Linked DNA regions of Tamandua tetradactyla. The protein of the gene in region 2 binds, or shares a complex with, the protein of the main gene of each other region. Links are inferred from orthologs where the notes say so. Each region holds a gene or a part of one and is shown on either strand. Other genes may lie near its edges. The genes, in order: NIFK and MKI67.

What was found.
Region 1: the proteins of MKI67 (region 2) and NIFK are in contact, whole or in part, in an NMR structure (PDB 2AFF), measured with the Homo sapiens proteins. The link is inferred for Tamandua tetradactyla from reciprocal best matches to the Homo sapiens genes MKI67 and NIFK. Residues at the interface, in NP_002408.3 of Homo sapiens: Thr9, Ile10, Lys11, Arg12, Ser13, Pro18, His19, Phe20, Pro21, Ser23, Leu24, Arg31, Gly32, Ile33, Glu34, Cys35, Asp36, Ile37, Arg38, Ile39, Gln40, Leu41, Pro42, Val43, Val44, Ser45, Lys46, Thr66, Asn67, Ile91; in NP_115766.3 of Homo sapiens: Val228, Asp229, Ser230, Gln231, Gly232, Pro233, Thr234, Pro235, Val236, Cys237, Phe241, Leu242, Arg245, Gln248, Val249, Leu252, Asp256, Lys257, Asp259, Glu260, Ile261, Val262, Phe263, Lys264, Gln265, Pro266, Ile267.

What each region holds. Positions count from the first base shown.
Region 1 is NC_135329.1:91,616,440-91,623,898, reverse strand, and holds the start of NIFK (MKI67 FHA domain-interacting nucleolar phosphoprotein), read right to left. Parts: upstream 3,064-7,459; 5' UTR 2,993-3,063; coding exon 2,888-2,992; intron 1,869-2,887; coding exon 1,740-1,868; intron 1-1,739.
Region 2 is NC_135339.1:90,697,758-90,705,229, reverse strand, and holds the start of MKI67 (proliferation marker protein Ki-67), read left to right. Parts: upstream 1-4,217; 5' UTR 4,218-4,330; intron 4,331-4,904; 5' UTR 4,905-5,001; coding exon 5,002-5,093; intron 5,094-7,472. UniProt on the Homo sapiens protein: Protein that associates with the surface of mitotic chromosomes and acts both as a chromosome repellent during early mitosis and chromosome attractant during late mitosis.

The DNA.
Region 1 (7,459 bases), on a different chromosome or scaffold from region 2:
CAATAAAAGTCAAAAATTATTAGTCATGATAACTTGACCCATTCTACAATCTCAATTCCAATAAGAATATGTAGGACAGGAAGAGATTATGAGCTCCAACTCAATCTACTACGACTATAAATTTTTAAAGTGATTTGAAAATACTTTCAAGTGTCAAAAAAAGTATTAATACTTTTACCCAGTAATCCCAGAATGTGGACAGCTCAAGCAAAAAGTTTAAAATTCAGGTGGTGTGGGGAAGATGGTTAACTTTACTATGCAACAGTGCTGGAGACGGTAAATTCTAGCACCTCTCCTCAATGAAAGGACTTTCTATAAGACAACTGGCCTTAAACTCTTCAAAAAAGCCAACGTCAAGAAAAACAAAATCAAGCAGGGAGACAGTTCTAGTCATAAAGACATTTCTGGGACAACTGGGAAAATGTGAAGATGGATGGTATTTTTATATATGACTGTGGGTATGTAGGAGAATGTCCTTATTCCCAGGAAGTTTATGATGAAGTATCAAAGGATAAATGATTATAACCATCTTTTATTCTTCCAAATGGTTCAACTCTACCTATAAATCTACTACTTAAAGAACAAAGATCTGAAGCAAGTATGATATATTGACATCTGATAAAACTGAATGGGGGATACCTGTGAAGTTACTAAATTATTCCTTATTAGACATTTCAGGATGTCTGAAACATTGAAATGTCTCACCCACATAACAACAATGTAACAAGTAGATAAATATTAAAAAGTTAAAAGAAATTCAGGGAAAACTGTTTTTTTTTGTTAGGATGGAGGAAATATCAGGAAACTTTTCATTTAAAAATTTCTTCAATGTTGTTAAGATGCTGTTTTGACAAAATAAATTTTTTAATCTGTGTTTCATGACAACTAGTAGGTGGTACGATGAATACTCTATTTCCTCATATGCCAAAGCAAATATAAATTTTAACTTTTATCTAATATAACTCAGGTGGGATAATGTGGAAAAAATATTTTTAAGAAAACAGGATTCCAACAAAGAGGTGAGTTTGGGTACCACGAACAGAAGTGGGAGGTAGGGGCGCAGAGAATAAAGTGGGTTACTCCTCTATTACTGAAATCAACTACAAAAACCTTTTTCTTAAGGAGATAGACTCAACCTAACAGCATTATATAGTAATTATTGTATGTCTGGCATTGCTCTAATTTATTACTTCTCTTAATTATTGAATAAATACTTCTAGGAAGTCAGTGCTTTATTATTCACATTTTACAGACCAGAAAATGAAAGCATAAAGAAATATAATTTGCCTAAGGTCACACAACTAGCAAGATGAAGAGGCAGGCTTCAAACCCAGGAAGGCTGACTCCAGAGCCTTCACTCTTAATTAATCTACCAAACATTCGCTATTACGAGGATGCTAATGCCAGATGATATATGAACCGGTTCTTCAAAGTGAGGTTCATGTATCTTTGGGTTAGTAGCCACAGGATATAGCTCACTGACCAGGACTGTCAATTTAATTTGAAGATTTGGTGCAAACTGGTTAGTTTTTTTTCTTAACAATAAAACAAATGATTCGTAACAATACTGATTGTGCTCCTGTGGGTTGTTTCAGGATCTAAGCCCCATTCCCTGCTCCCATCACCCTTTGTGTGGGAAGTCTGATAAACAATGATGAGTGAAAATGCTCTGTAAACTGTCAAGGATTATATACACTTGAAAAACAAAAGTAATCGAATTCAACTACAAAAATGTTTACCTTTTTACTTCTGGACAGCCTGAGTCTTGTGACAGTGCCAAACTGGGAGAAATATGCCTGGAGCTGGGGTTCGAAAAGGCCTCGAGGTATGTGGCCCACATAGATTACTCCGGGAGTAAGTTTTTCTTGCTACAGATAGACCAAGTAAACAAAATATATTTTAAATTAAAACAGTGACATTGCAACAAAACTTGCAAAACCCCCAGCTCCAGGTTCAACCGAGATTTAGATTCTTCATCAAAGACGCCAAGAACCTACTCTATGTTTCCACTTATCACAGCTGTAATTGAAGAATTAGCTGGTTAACGTCCATCTCCCCAGTAGAGGCGTCAAGTAGACAGTTGCCTTCTCAGACTTATTTCCCAAAACTGAACACAATGTGCTCAACTCTTTGTTAACTCGTTGGGTGAGCAAATAAATCTTTCAACATGTCATTTTAAATTTACTGCCAAAAGAACTCCGCACAAATGTACTAAGCTTTGCTCCCTTCAATTTTTTACGGCGCTCACTATCCACTCACACCTAACCAAGCAACCACGAGAAGTTTGCTAACGTTCACAACGCAGGCGGACCTCTCAGCCTCTCGGCCACTGTACCATTACTCTCTACACAAACAATTTTTTCCACACGTGGTACCTTATGCTGAAGATCAAATTATAAACCTGATGCCAGGGGCCCTAGTAAGCAAGAGGGACGTGTCAAATATTGTCTTTGAACATCTTCAAAATCAACAATTGTGCACATAAATCTTCTGAACGGTGAAGCATATCTGAGGTCCCATTTTCGAGGACAAAACGGAAGCGTAACGGCTTTAACTACGAATTAATCTGCGGTAAAGGATGGCCATTTCCACAAACTGGCTCTTTTTCCTCCTTGCGTCTCCCCAATATCTGCCCCTTATGTCCACGTAAGGCCTCCGCGCCCAAACTCCACCACAACTTCCGGGCGAGCTGAAACCTCTTTGTCTTGGGAAAGTGGAAACCTCGGCCTACAAGCTCCCGAGGTGGGTCCCTGACTCGGCCGGGCGCTCACTCGGGGAGACGCTGATGGGGACCGAGGTGTGAGGTGCGCCAGGCGCTCTCGGACAGGCACCGCGCAGGGCCCCAGTCTACGCCTCCCCACACAGTCCCGGCTGCTGGACCGCTCACCTGGGTCGCGCGCTGGCGGACATGCGCCACCTGCTTCTGAAATTTGGCCTGCGCCTGCGGGTCCAGGGACAGGAGTGGCTTGGCCGGGCCAGAAACTTCAGCCATGACCGAAGTACACCAGCCGACACACTCCACGCGGCGCTCCCGGAAGCACGGTGCCAGTGGCTGTCGCGAGGCGGAAGCGGAAGCTGCAGGGCGCGGTGCGGGGCGCGGTGCGAGGGTCCGGCCAAGGCAAGCGCGGGCGCCCCCTGCCGGTGCGGCACCGCCTGGCGGTGCTCTCACACCTTCCTTGCGTTCAAAATGGCAGAGGATCACGCCTACTTTTTGCCCGCCAATTTCGAAGGGGAATTAAAAATAATCTCCCAAACAACACCGGTGCCCTTCAGTGCTGGGCACCATTCCGTCACTGATGCTTCTCTTCTTTCGCTCATTTGGTTTCTGAGCCCCTCTTACGTGTCCCTGGGCTACTAATCCTTGGGGTATTTACGGTCTGGGCAGGCAAAACCGGGTTGCTAAAGCCGTTCTGGAGGGTGGGTTGCGGGCTGCGACAGACCTGAGAGTTCCTAGGAGATACACTTGGTGGCCAAGCAGGGTCTCCCAGGGGTCAAATAAACTGAGACCTTAAGGCGGCGGGAAGCCCAGTGTAAGGAGCAGGGACCCACGTCCAGGCAGGGTTTCTGTGCAGGTAGAGGGGACAGTGCAGATGGCAGGGGGTCAGCGCAGGCAGAGGGGACAGTGCAGATGGCAGGGGGTCAGCGCAGGCAGAGGGGACAGTGCAGATGGCAGGGGGTCAGAGCAGGCAGAGGGGACAGTGCAGATGGCAGGAGGTCAGAGCAGGCAGAGGGGACAGCGCAGGTGCGGGGGAAAGCGCCAGCAGAAGGGACGGCGCAAACGGTGGGCAGCGCAGGCATAGGGACAACAGCGCCTGGCAGAAAGGACCGCGCAGGTGGGGAAACAGCTCAGGCTGGGTGGGGGGTGAGGGGCGGACAAGCGTAGGCAGGACGGGGCCTGCGTGTGGGACACTTGGAAAGAGGCGGGCTGCCTGGAGTTCCTGGGCTCTGCGCGTCCCGAGGCAGAGCTGGGGTTTTTATGTTAATGCTAGAGCACGTGAGGGCTTTAAGCCAGGCTCTGGCTGTCCAGACTTAAAAAAGTGTTCAAATCCTGCCTAGTAAGGGTGGAGAGTGGAGCGGAGGCCACAGCGACAGCCCTGGCAGAGTGGCCTGGGGGACAGCAAGGCTGTGTGTGTGAACTGGGGAGGACGACCTTTGGGCGCTGGGATGTGCGTGTCCGCCGCGGAGGTGGGCAGTGTGGCTGTGGGGGGCGGACTAGGGGGCCTGTGCAGGGAGAGGGGACCTCTCACCTCTGGCCTGGCGTGCCTTCCTCTCTCCGGTCACCCTCAGGGCTTAGTTGGGGGGGGTCACCCCTCTAGGAAGCATCCTTTCCTGCCGTGACTGCAGCTTGTTCCTGGATACTCCCTCCTGCCAGTATCTTCCTGCCCAGGCTGGAGGTTCAGGAGGGCCGCTAGCAGCAGCCTGATTCTTCCTCAGGATTGCTCTTTCTCCTGGGCTTCTCTCTGCTCGCCCAGAATGAAATTTTGGGGCCAGCTCATCACTTTTCCAATGCCCCCACAGTTATTTATGAAAAGAAGCATATTCCAGGTTTTCCAAATCCAAGGTCAAAGGTCCCCTCTCCCAGCAATGGCCTGCCTGGAGCAGAGAAATCTCCCAAGGTGTCACTGTCCATATCATCTTCCTGGCTCAGCCTCTCTCCTGTGCCCAGCTGCTGTTTGGGGCCTTTGCGGGGGTGGGGGGGGTGGGGGGGGGGGTGGGCAGAGAGCAGAGGGAGGGCCAGGAAGGGTGATGTGATGGTGGGGACCACAGGGCTCTGGGGGCTCTGGCAGGGGCCATCCCCCATTTCTGGCTCTTTCTCTCCAAGCTCTTTAGAGGCTTCCCTTGCTGGCTGCCTGGGCCGAGGACCTACTGTCTGCCAAGGACTCTGTGTCCAGCGCCTTCCTAGACTGCCCGGCCCTGGTTCTTCAGTAAGGGCCACATCTTTGGGCTGTCTCTGTCAATGGGAGACACCTCACTCCCACCTTGCACTGCTGTGGGTGGTTCTGGGGGCCTCAACTTTGGGCAGGTCCTGGTTCCTGTGACCCCAAAGTCCAGAGGATGTGGACCAAGCTCCCTGGTTCTCTGAAGGCCCCTCCTTTGGTGTATGTGTTGGGGCAGGCACCCTCCTCATTCCCAGGATGGATTCTTGACAGATCTCATAGCTCCTGGGGAGAGGAGAGGAGCAGGGAATGAAGACAGCAAGCGACAGTTCTCTCCCGGAAATCCTCTCTCCAATCCCCAACCCACCCAACCTTCCCATGGGTTCCTGGCCTTGCCTGCGGCCCCTAGGTGAGTCATGCCCCAAAACTGGCACGCCTGCTCTCTATCTCACAGCACAGCACTTCCTAACAGTGTGAGCACATGGTTATCTGGGGGGATTGTTACAAGCAGGTTCTGGTCCAGCAGATCTGGGCTAGGGCTGCAGGATCTATCTCTAACATGCTCCCCAGTGAGGCTGAGGCTCTGTGGACCACACTTTGTGCAACAGGAGTAGAGATTTGGGGTTTCAATCACTATAATGGGAACAGCCTGAAATGGTATCTAAGGAAAGTATGGGTCCTGGGCTTATCTCAGGTGTTGGGAGTGAACCTGTTGGGCCAGGTTGTCTCTGGGCTTCAGTTTCCTTGTCTATAAAAGAAGAATTTGAATGAGATGATAACACTGTGGTACACTGTGCTCTTTAGCAGCACCAGCACAACTAATGGTAAGATTAGCAGCTGCTAGGCCTCAACCCCGTGGTGGGTTAGGCCTGCAAGGGTTTGTTCCTTCCTTCCTTCGGGTTTCCATCCCTCCTGCCCTTCACGGAACCTTACAGAGGTGCAGCACTGATATGTAGGCTTCTGGGTTACTAAAATGAGGTATTGTTTCACGTTTAAGGTAGCCCCAAGTGTCTACAGGGTTAACATTCAGGTTGGGGTTGTATAGCCAAGTTGGCTCACAGAGTCCCAGGTGGGCAGAAGGGTAGAAGTTTGTTCCACCTGTCTGGATAGTGATTTGGCAAAATGTGTCAAGAACTTTAAACATATCACCAGAAATGATCTGAAATCCTGCTAAAGACTTACAAACACCCTGGTGACAATGGTACTTTTAAGAGAAAGAAATGGAAACAACTGAAATGGCCTATGACAAGGGTCTGGGTTGATAAGCATGGTATGTCCGTTCAATGGATAAAGTCACATTAAAAATGTCTGCATTTCAGGTGTTAATAATATGGAGGTTTATGGGGAAAATAATCTAATGCAAACTATGGACTATAGTTAACAGTAATAGTTTAATATTATTTCATCAGTTGTAACAAAGGTACCACACCAAGGTTAAGTATCAATAATAGGGAGCTAAAAAGATACGGGACTTTTCCTTTTGGAGGAGTGAAAATGTTCTAAAATTGATTGTGGTGATGAATGCAACTCTGTGATTATACTGAGAGCCACTGATGGTACAGTTTGGATGGATTATATGGTGTATGAATAAAACGTCTTTTTAAATAAGTTAAAAACAGGAAAAAAACCAACAAAAATAGTCTATTTTTAAAATGATTGAACAAACTAAAACAAACTGAGAAAATGTTAGTTGTTATGTAACAAGTGTCATTCGAAATAAATAAGATGAACACTTTAATAGAAAATGTGCAAAGAAAATGTAAGAAAACTCCCCAAAGAAATTTCAATGCATATAAGAAAAATCAGGGCAGGCCACGGTGGCTCAGCAGGTAAGAATGCTTCCCTGCCATGCCTGAGGACCCGGGTTCGATTCCCGGTGCCTGCTTATGTGAAAAAAAAAAAAAGGAAAAAAAAAAGAAAAATCATCCAGGCATACATGGAGAAGTTAAATGAGATTCCTTTATGCCCTGATAGAACTGTTCATATTTAAAAGACATTAAACTAAGGCCAGGCAGTTTGTAAATTGTTGCAACTACTCTGGAGAGCAATTTGGCAAAGTTCATTCATTCACCAAATATCTACTGAGAGTCTGCTAGGCACTGAGAAGGACTCTCAATGGCATCTGGGGGTAGTGGTGATTAAGCCCCTTAGGAGCATTCGGAAATGTTCAGGGCATCTGGAATTTTCACCATGATTTGGGGTGCTACTGATCTTTAGCACCCAGCTGTTGTGCATGTATTGAGTGGGACGGCCCACTATATTGATTATATTATTTGTTCCCATTTATTCCTCCTGGAGCTTATCTCCTGGCCCCACTGACTTTAGGTTGCGTGATTTGCTTTGACCAGTGGGACATGGGCAGACAACAGATTGTATTAGTTCTGAATGGAAGCTTGAAGAAGTATTCCCAGTTCCCCTCACTATCTTGTGCCATCCACAGGGAGAAAAACATACCCAGGTCACTGATACCTCAATCTGGGCCCTCAAATGAGAAACGCACCAGAACCGAAAGGGCAGACCTGAAACCTGAATCCCTCCAAGTCCAGCCCACCTAGCCCCAGCTGAGCCACCTGTAGCAGATT
Region 2 (7,472 bases):
TGGTGAACATGGTCAGGGTTCCTCTCTCAAGTGAGAAGGCACATGGCGAACCTGGCATCATCTGCTAGCTTCTTCTCCTGGCTTCCTGTTTCATGAAGCTCCCCCGGAGACACTTTCCTTTTTCATCTTCAAAGGTCACTGCCTGGTGGACTCTGCTTCTTGTGGCTACGTCGTTCTGCTCTGCTCTCTCCAAATCCTTTATTCTCCAAAATGTTTCCTCTTTTATAGGATTTCAGAGACTAATCAAGACCCACCCAAAAGGGTGGAGACATGTCTTCACCTAATCCAGTTTAACAGCCACTCTCGATTCCATCACATCTCCAGGGAGATGATCTAATTACAGTTTCAAACATACAATGCTGAATAGGGATTAGAAGAAATGGCTGCCTTTACAAAATGGGATTAGGATTAAATCATGGTTTTTCTAGGGGACACACATCTTTCAAATCAGCAGAGCTGGGCATTGCCGGGGACATGTTCGGGCTCCATCAGGACCACACCATGCTGGCCCACTTGGTCAGCCCCAGGGAGCAATCCTGGGCCACCCACTCCTTCCCCAGTCCCCCTGCGCCAGCCTTAACCTGAGATAGACAGGCCCTTTCACCCACTCTGCTGGGTAGCTTCTTAGTGCCCCATTCCCAGGCTATGACCTTCTGCACCCAGGGGGTTGGGCCATTGGAAATCACCTGTGGGCTGAGTCAGGTGGAGGTACTTAGTCCCCATAATGTCACCTGTGGGATGTGGTGGGTGGTCCTCCCCAGCAGTCAATTTCATTAACTCCCCACTTCACCCTTCAGGCCTGGGCTGGGGGTGGGGAGGGGCTTCTCACGCCAGGCCCCGCACAGTCCCTTGTGGGCGTCCTTCCCGCTGTGGCGGGCCGCTGTTCCCCCCGGGGCTGGCCGGTATGCCCACCTGGACCACACCCAGAAAGGAAGCCACCAGGCTGCCCCCACAGTCTCTGAAGAAAACAACAAAAAAGACAGGAGTGACTCTGGGGCAGGAAGGGATAACATGAGCCAAGGGCCTCAGAAAGATAAAAAGCAGTGTGTTCATCTAGGAAGTCTGTTATTTTGAAGAAACAAACTCATATGATTTTTAAAATCAGAGCTCAATTTAGTCTGTGCAATTTTTTGAGTTAATGAAAAAATTTTAAAAAGCACAGTAGGAAAATATTATGCACAATGTGAAAATTATGAACAAAACTGTATGCGTAAAGAAAACACCTCAAAATACTAAGGAATTTTATTCTGCTTTCCCCTGTTGCCTTCAAGGTGTGTCTTTCATTCTCACAGGTAAAGACAGCATAAATGTAAACGTAAAACTATATACATAAGCATGTTACTGAATGTTGAACCTCTCTCCATCCTTACAAAGCTCTCCCTGGACGGCCAGCTTCCTCTAGCAAGTGCCTCATTGACCTTCACAGCTAAACTCCCGGGAAGAAGTGTTCTCATTCCCCTCCCGTTCTCCCAGGAGTCCCCTCCAACCAGTTCCCACCATGCCACTTTCATGTCATGGTCACCAGTGGCCTCCAATTGACAAAGCCAAAGGTCGCGTCTCCGTCGCATGTCACCCAGCACCTCAGCAGCATGGCATTTTTTGTCCCTCCTACCTCTTCTCTGAAGCACAAGCTCTCCTGGTTTTCCTCCTGTCTCACTGGTTGCTCGTTCTCAGCCTCCTTTGCTGAATCCTGCTCTCTCCCTGCAGCCAGAGGGCACCCAGGCTCCAACCCTGAACCCTTTGCTTACTAGCACTCTAGTAAACCCATAACTCAATCCTGGGCCCATGAATTCCAGGCACATATATCCAACTGCTGGGGCTCAAACGCAAACTGAACTCATGATTATTTCACACTCAAATACATACACACACACACAAGACATGAAAAACACAACCGAAAACCCTCCCTAGGTTGACCCTTTGAGTAAACAAAACTGCCACCCACCCAGTTGCTCAAGCCAAAACTCTTGAGCAGTATCCCTGACTCCCCCCCCCCCCCCCCCCCCCCCCCCCGGCTCATTTGATTCCTCAGCAAATCCTGCCACTTCTCCTTTCACTTCAGATCCAACAACCCGCCCTTCTCACCACCCACCCTGGACTCCTGCAGGGGTCTCCCAATTGGTCTCTGCCTGCTTCTCACCTCTACCATCTGGTTTTTCTGCAAAAGGCAGAGGTACCTTTTACAATGTAATTCAGAGAGGTTATTTTTATAATCTTGGAATGGGCAGGCCTCTCCTAAGCAGGACACAATAACATTTAAGTATAACAATTTTTAAAGGACTATTAATTGAACCAAAAGCAAATGCCAACAGAGAAAGAAAATTACAGTACATGTGAGAGTTAATTTCCTTAAGAAAAACTTAAGTAAAAAGATAGACAAAAATAAGAGAAAATGGAAAATAGAACATATAAGTAAAACAAATATAGTGGATACTGCAGTCAGCAAATAATGCTTCTCCCATTCCCAAAACTGCCCACATCTATCCCAGGAATCTGTGACTGTGTTATGTCACATGGCAACAGCGAATTAAGGTTGCAGATAGAATTAAGTTTTAATCAGCTGACCTTGAGGGGAAACTCCAGCGGATCCCATGTGATCACGTGGGTCCTTGTAAGTGAAAGAGGAGAGAGAGTCAGCATGATTTAGGAGAAAGACCCGCAGCCCCAGGTTTTAGAGATGAGAGGCTTGCAGGAGCCCAGGAAAGCAACCGGAAATGCTGGACTCCCTTCTCGAGCCTCCATGAGACATGCAGCAGTCCACCTCGATTTTAGCCCAGTAAAGACTCGTTCAGACGTCTGACCTCCAGGACTGGAAGATAATAAATTCGTGTTCTTGTAAGGCTCTACATTGTGGTCATTAGTTTCAGCAGCTGCAGGAAACGAATACTGACACCAACATCTCATTCACCAAAAAAAAAAAGACGTGAAACCAAACAGCTCATCTTTTTTTTGTTCGTTTTTTTGCCTCTTAGATTGACATCAATTAAATAATAATGATCGTCATCAATATACTTGAGCTGGTCTGTAGGGAAAACAACACTCTGGCACCTTACTGGGGAAAGAAGATACTAGCTCAAACTTTTTAGAAAGAAGTTTGGTCATAAACGTAACAATTTTACATATGCATGTCTTCTGACCCAACAGATTTGTTGATAGGAGTTTGCCTTCCTGTATTCAGCAAAGCCTGCCAGCATGCACTGGTTTTTTTTAAAGGGGCTTTATGGAGATGTAACTGATGTACAATAAACTTCACATATTTAAAATGTGAAATCTGGTTAGGCTGAACACATCTGTGAAAACCATCCCTGCAATGAAAAGTGTGAACATATATATCCATTGCCCTCAAAAGTTTACTCAGCCCTCTTTATACTTCCCCCTCCTTTCTCTCCACCATCCCCTTTACCCCCAAAGGACTATAGATCTGCTTTGTTACGATAGACTAGTTTGCCTTTTCTACAGTTTTATATAAATGGGATCAGTCAGCATGGATTTGTTTTCCACTCGGCATAATTATTTTAAGATTCATCCAGTGGTCACGTAAGATTTTCTAATTGTAAAATTGTTTCTAGTAGCAAAGCTTTATAAACCGAAATAGCAATGGCACGATCAAGTAAATTAAGCAAATGGTGTGCAGGCGTCAAAATGAAAGTAGAAGCCGAGTTTATGCTGACAGGAGCTGACCTCAGGATTCATTAGCGGAGAACACTACAGAATAATGTGTATATGCTCTTTTGTGTAATGTTGAAAAAGAGACTACATGCTGGGAAAATACACAAGAATCTGCGGGAAATAACTGGTTCTCTTCCGGGAGAGGCAGGGACCGGCGAGGGAAGCTGGACTTCAACATTTTAGCCTTGTAGCAAGGAGGGGCGCCGCGTACGGGCCCTAAAAAAGACGAGGCAGGAAAGTTTATCTCCGCCCTGGGATCAGGCCCCACGTTCGGTGTTTTTAGGTTTTCCTCTACAGGACAAGAATACCACGTTCTCCCCGGACGCTCAACCCCAGGCGGTCGTGAGCATCGGGGTCGCGGGCCCCCCTCGAACTTGGGTTCCCCCACCTCGCCCGGTGCGCTCCTCCCGCCCTTCCGCGTCCCCATTGGCCGGCCCGCGGCCCGCGCCGCCCAATCACAGCGCTTAGCGCCGGAATTCGAATCGCTGTTTGGATTTGAACGACAGGAAGCGCGGCTCTCGGGGTAGTGGCGCGCGGGCGCGCGGAGGGATCCGGCCGCGGAGCCGGGGTGCGGCGCTTTGTGGCGCGAGCGGGCTGCGGCTGGGGCTCCGGGCGGACTCGGCGGTGACGGGCCCGGAGGAGCGGGCCGCGGTCGGTCTAGGTGAGCCGGCCCGGGGGCCTCGAGGCGGGGTTCGTGGCGCGGCGTCTCTGGTGCCATTGGCTCCTGGGTCCCGGGTGGGCCCCGGTGAAGGCGAGGGGCTCGGGCGCTCTCGGAGGGTGTTGACTGGGTGGGCGATGTGCGGGACGGGGCGACCCAGGGCGGTGCTGGGGGCGCCCTCGGGGGCCAGCGGGCGAGGCTCCCTGAGGGGTAGCAACGTGGGCGCGCACTCTGGGGCCGGTGGGCGAAGTCGCCTTTGACGGAGAGCCTGGGCCCACATTCGGGGCCTGGCGGGCGAGGAGCCTTTGGGGGACAGCCTGGGGCTGCGCTCGGGGGACAGCGTGGGGGCGAGGAGCGCGCTGCGGTGGATGGGGGAGGGCAGCGTGAGGGCATTCTCTGGAGGGACAGCCCGGGGGGGCGCCCTCGGGGGTAGGGGGTACAGCCTGGGGGCACCCTCGCGGGTTCGGGCAGCGGGGGCTTTGGTTAACATCCAGGGGCCTCTGATTTGTCTCTTAAAAAGTGACTTCTTAGCAAGCTTGCTTTGAGAGTAACCTTTCCCTCCTTTTGTTTTATTCAGTTTTTGCGGTGAAAGAGTTATTGGTAAATCGTTTTTTGACAAACCTTGTAAAACCTGACGCTCCTGTATGGACCGTGCTCTGCATATAGTTTAGAAAATGAGTCGTTTGTGCCACCTCGTTGTCATCAAAAGGAGCGGGATCGACGGTACCCATTTCCCGCTGCGGCGGGAAACCTGCTTATTTGGAAGGTGAGCTCGGTACTTCCTCTGTTCTTTTAATTTGGCAATTGTTTTTTACCAAATGAGATTTTGAAAATACATTAAGTGTTTTAATTTGGTGAAAGCCTTGAGATGGAGAAGGATAGAGGTTTTCACATTTGGTGCCCTTGACGCAGTCCTGAGAAGGCAGCTGGGTGGTGTGAAGCCCTGACTCGCTGCCCCTGGCTCTCGGGGCACACTTTGGGGTGGAGAAGGAAGGAGCCTCTGTTTGGCTCCTTGTTTTTTTTGGAAAAAAAATGAGCATGGGAAAGTCATGCTGCTTGTATTTTGATAAGTTTTCCTGTAAGGTTGCCTTTTTCTTTTGGTGGCGCTATTAACTGGATTTTCATGCTCAGCTTTCAATGACAGAATTGACAGAATTTCCATTGCTATATGATATCACACGAGTCTACATTTTAAAATTCCTCAGGTAAAGAACTTCTTTTTTTCCTTAAATGTGAAAAAGTAAAAGGTTGCCCTAGAACTGCAGTTTCTCATATCCCCACATCTGGATACAGCCATGTCCAGTCTGGTGGTTGTTGCGGTTAGCTGTCTTACAGACGTCTAAGGTTTTTGCTGTCTTTTAAGTAGGGTTATACTTAATGTCAGATTGTCTCTAAAATACATCTCGCATTTCTGCTTCTCTCAGATGGAACAGAAAGTAGGCATGCAGCCGCTAGTGCCACAGAGATTGGAAACTGCAGGGGGATAATTGTTTAACCTCTCTTCCCAAATCATCCCAGTTCCCAACTGGACCATCACAATAGCCTCTTCACTGCTTTTTCTTGCATCTTTTTCTTCTACAGTCTGTTCTTGGTACTGTAGCCAGTGCAGTTTTTAATTTTAATACGGTTTCCTTGTTGAGAACGGCTCTGAGGCTTCCATTAATGACCAAAATGCACAACACTTTGGAGGTAGTGTAGCTTAACTGTTAAGGGGTTGGGGTGGGGCCCCAGAAATCAGACTGCCAGAGTTAGACAGGGCAAGCTACTTCTCACCTCTTCATTTACCTCAACGTTTGTGAAGAAAGAGATAGTGCTGCCTAATTCGTTAGGTTATGAGGACTGAGAGAGCACGTTACCTAATAAGAATTATTGGTTTTGCAGCCTGTAAGTAGATGCCCATGTATCAGGGACAGTTTATCAGTTCATCAGGGACCATCGGAGTTTATGCCCATCCTATCGAACGGTCACCCTCCCGTGGAGCTCTGTGCTCTGGCCCCTGACTTCCTTCCCATCTTACCTGGTGCTCCCAGCCCATCCCCAGCCACAAGTCAGCATCTCCTTGGGCAAACCAGGCTCACGTTCAGCTTGGTGGTTTGGACAGTATGGACTTTATGCCTAGAATGTTCTCCCTCCCCACCTACGTGAGATTGCTTTCCCGCTTTCAGATAACAGTTTACATGTCGCTTCAGAGAAGCCTTTCGTGAGCACTTCTCTTCCTGCATAGCCACTTTACCAGTGATGAGTGCTTTTGGTCTCTCCCACTCAACAGAATTTCCCAAGGGTGAGGCCTGTCTTGTTAATAATTATGTATTCAGTGCTTGGTGTGGTATCTGGCATCTTGAGATGGTCACTGTTTAGCACTCTGTAAAGTGTTCAGTAGATTTGCATTTGGAATCAGCATGTAACAGTGGTTCTCTAGCAAGGGCAATGTGGGGCTCCGGGAAGCATTTTGCAAGGTCTGAAGACATTTTTCACTGTTGCAGTGGGGGAAGGTGTGCTACTGGGCATCAGGGAGTAGAGGCCAGGGATGCTGCTAAACCACATGGCGTGTGCAGGGCGGCTCCCACAACAAAGATACGTGTGGCCCCAAATGTCCACAGCCCGGAGTTTGAGAAATGGTTGAAAGAGAGTGATTGTTAGCCATTTCCTGCCAAACAAATTCTCAGTCTGTTTTTTGCTGGGATGGTTTTGTATCTAAAAACCAAATTCTGTTCTTTGACTAAAAGTAGCTGTTTACTTTCCATAGCTTCCATTCCCTTCTAAAGATAAAAAAAAAAAAAACCTGAACATTTCAGTCTCAAATGGAAGTAAGTTTAGTTACTATATAGCAATGATGAAATATATTTTTATGTAAGGTTTTGTAATTTAGAAGCCAATTCATAAGTGTCCATCGTATGACATGGATAGGAAGAGGTGTTCCTAGATTCCAAAGGTTTACATTAAGAACAGAGAATGTTATGAAGTATGTTCAGACTTTCAAAACTAAGGGATTGTAATCTAAATCTAAGCTTACTAATAAATTGTTTTGAAATAATTTCTGTGTAGGTTTAGGAATACTCCTATCTGGTGCAAGTATTAAAAATAAATAGAGGGCAGTGCTGCGGTGGCTCAGTGGCAGAATTCTTGCCTGTCATGCCCGAGACCT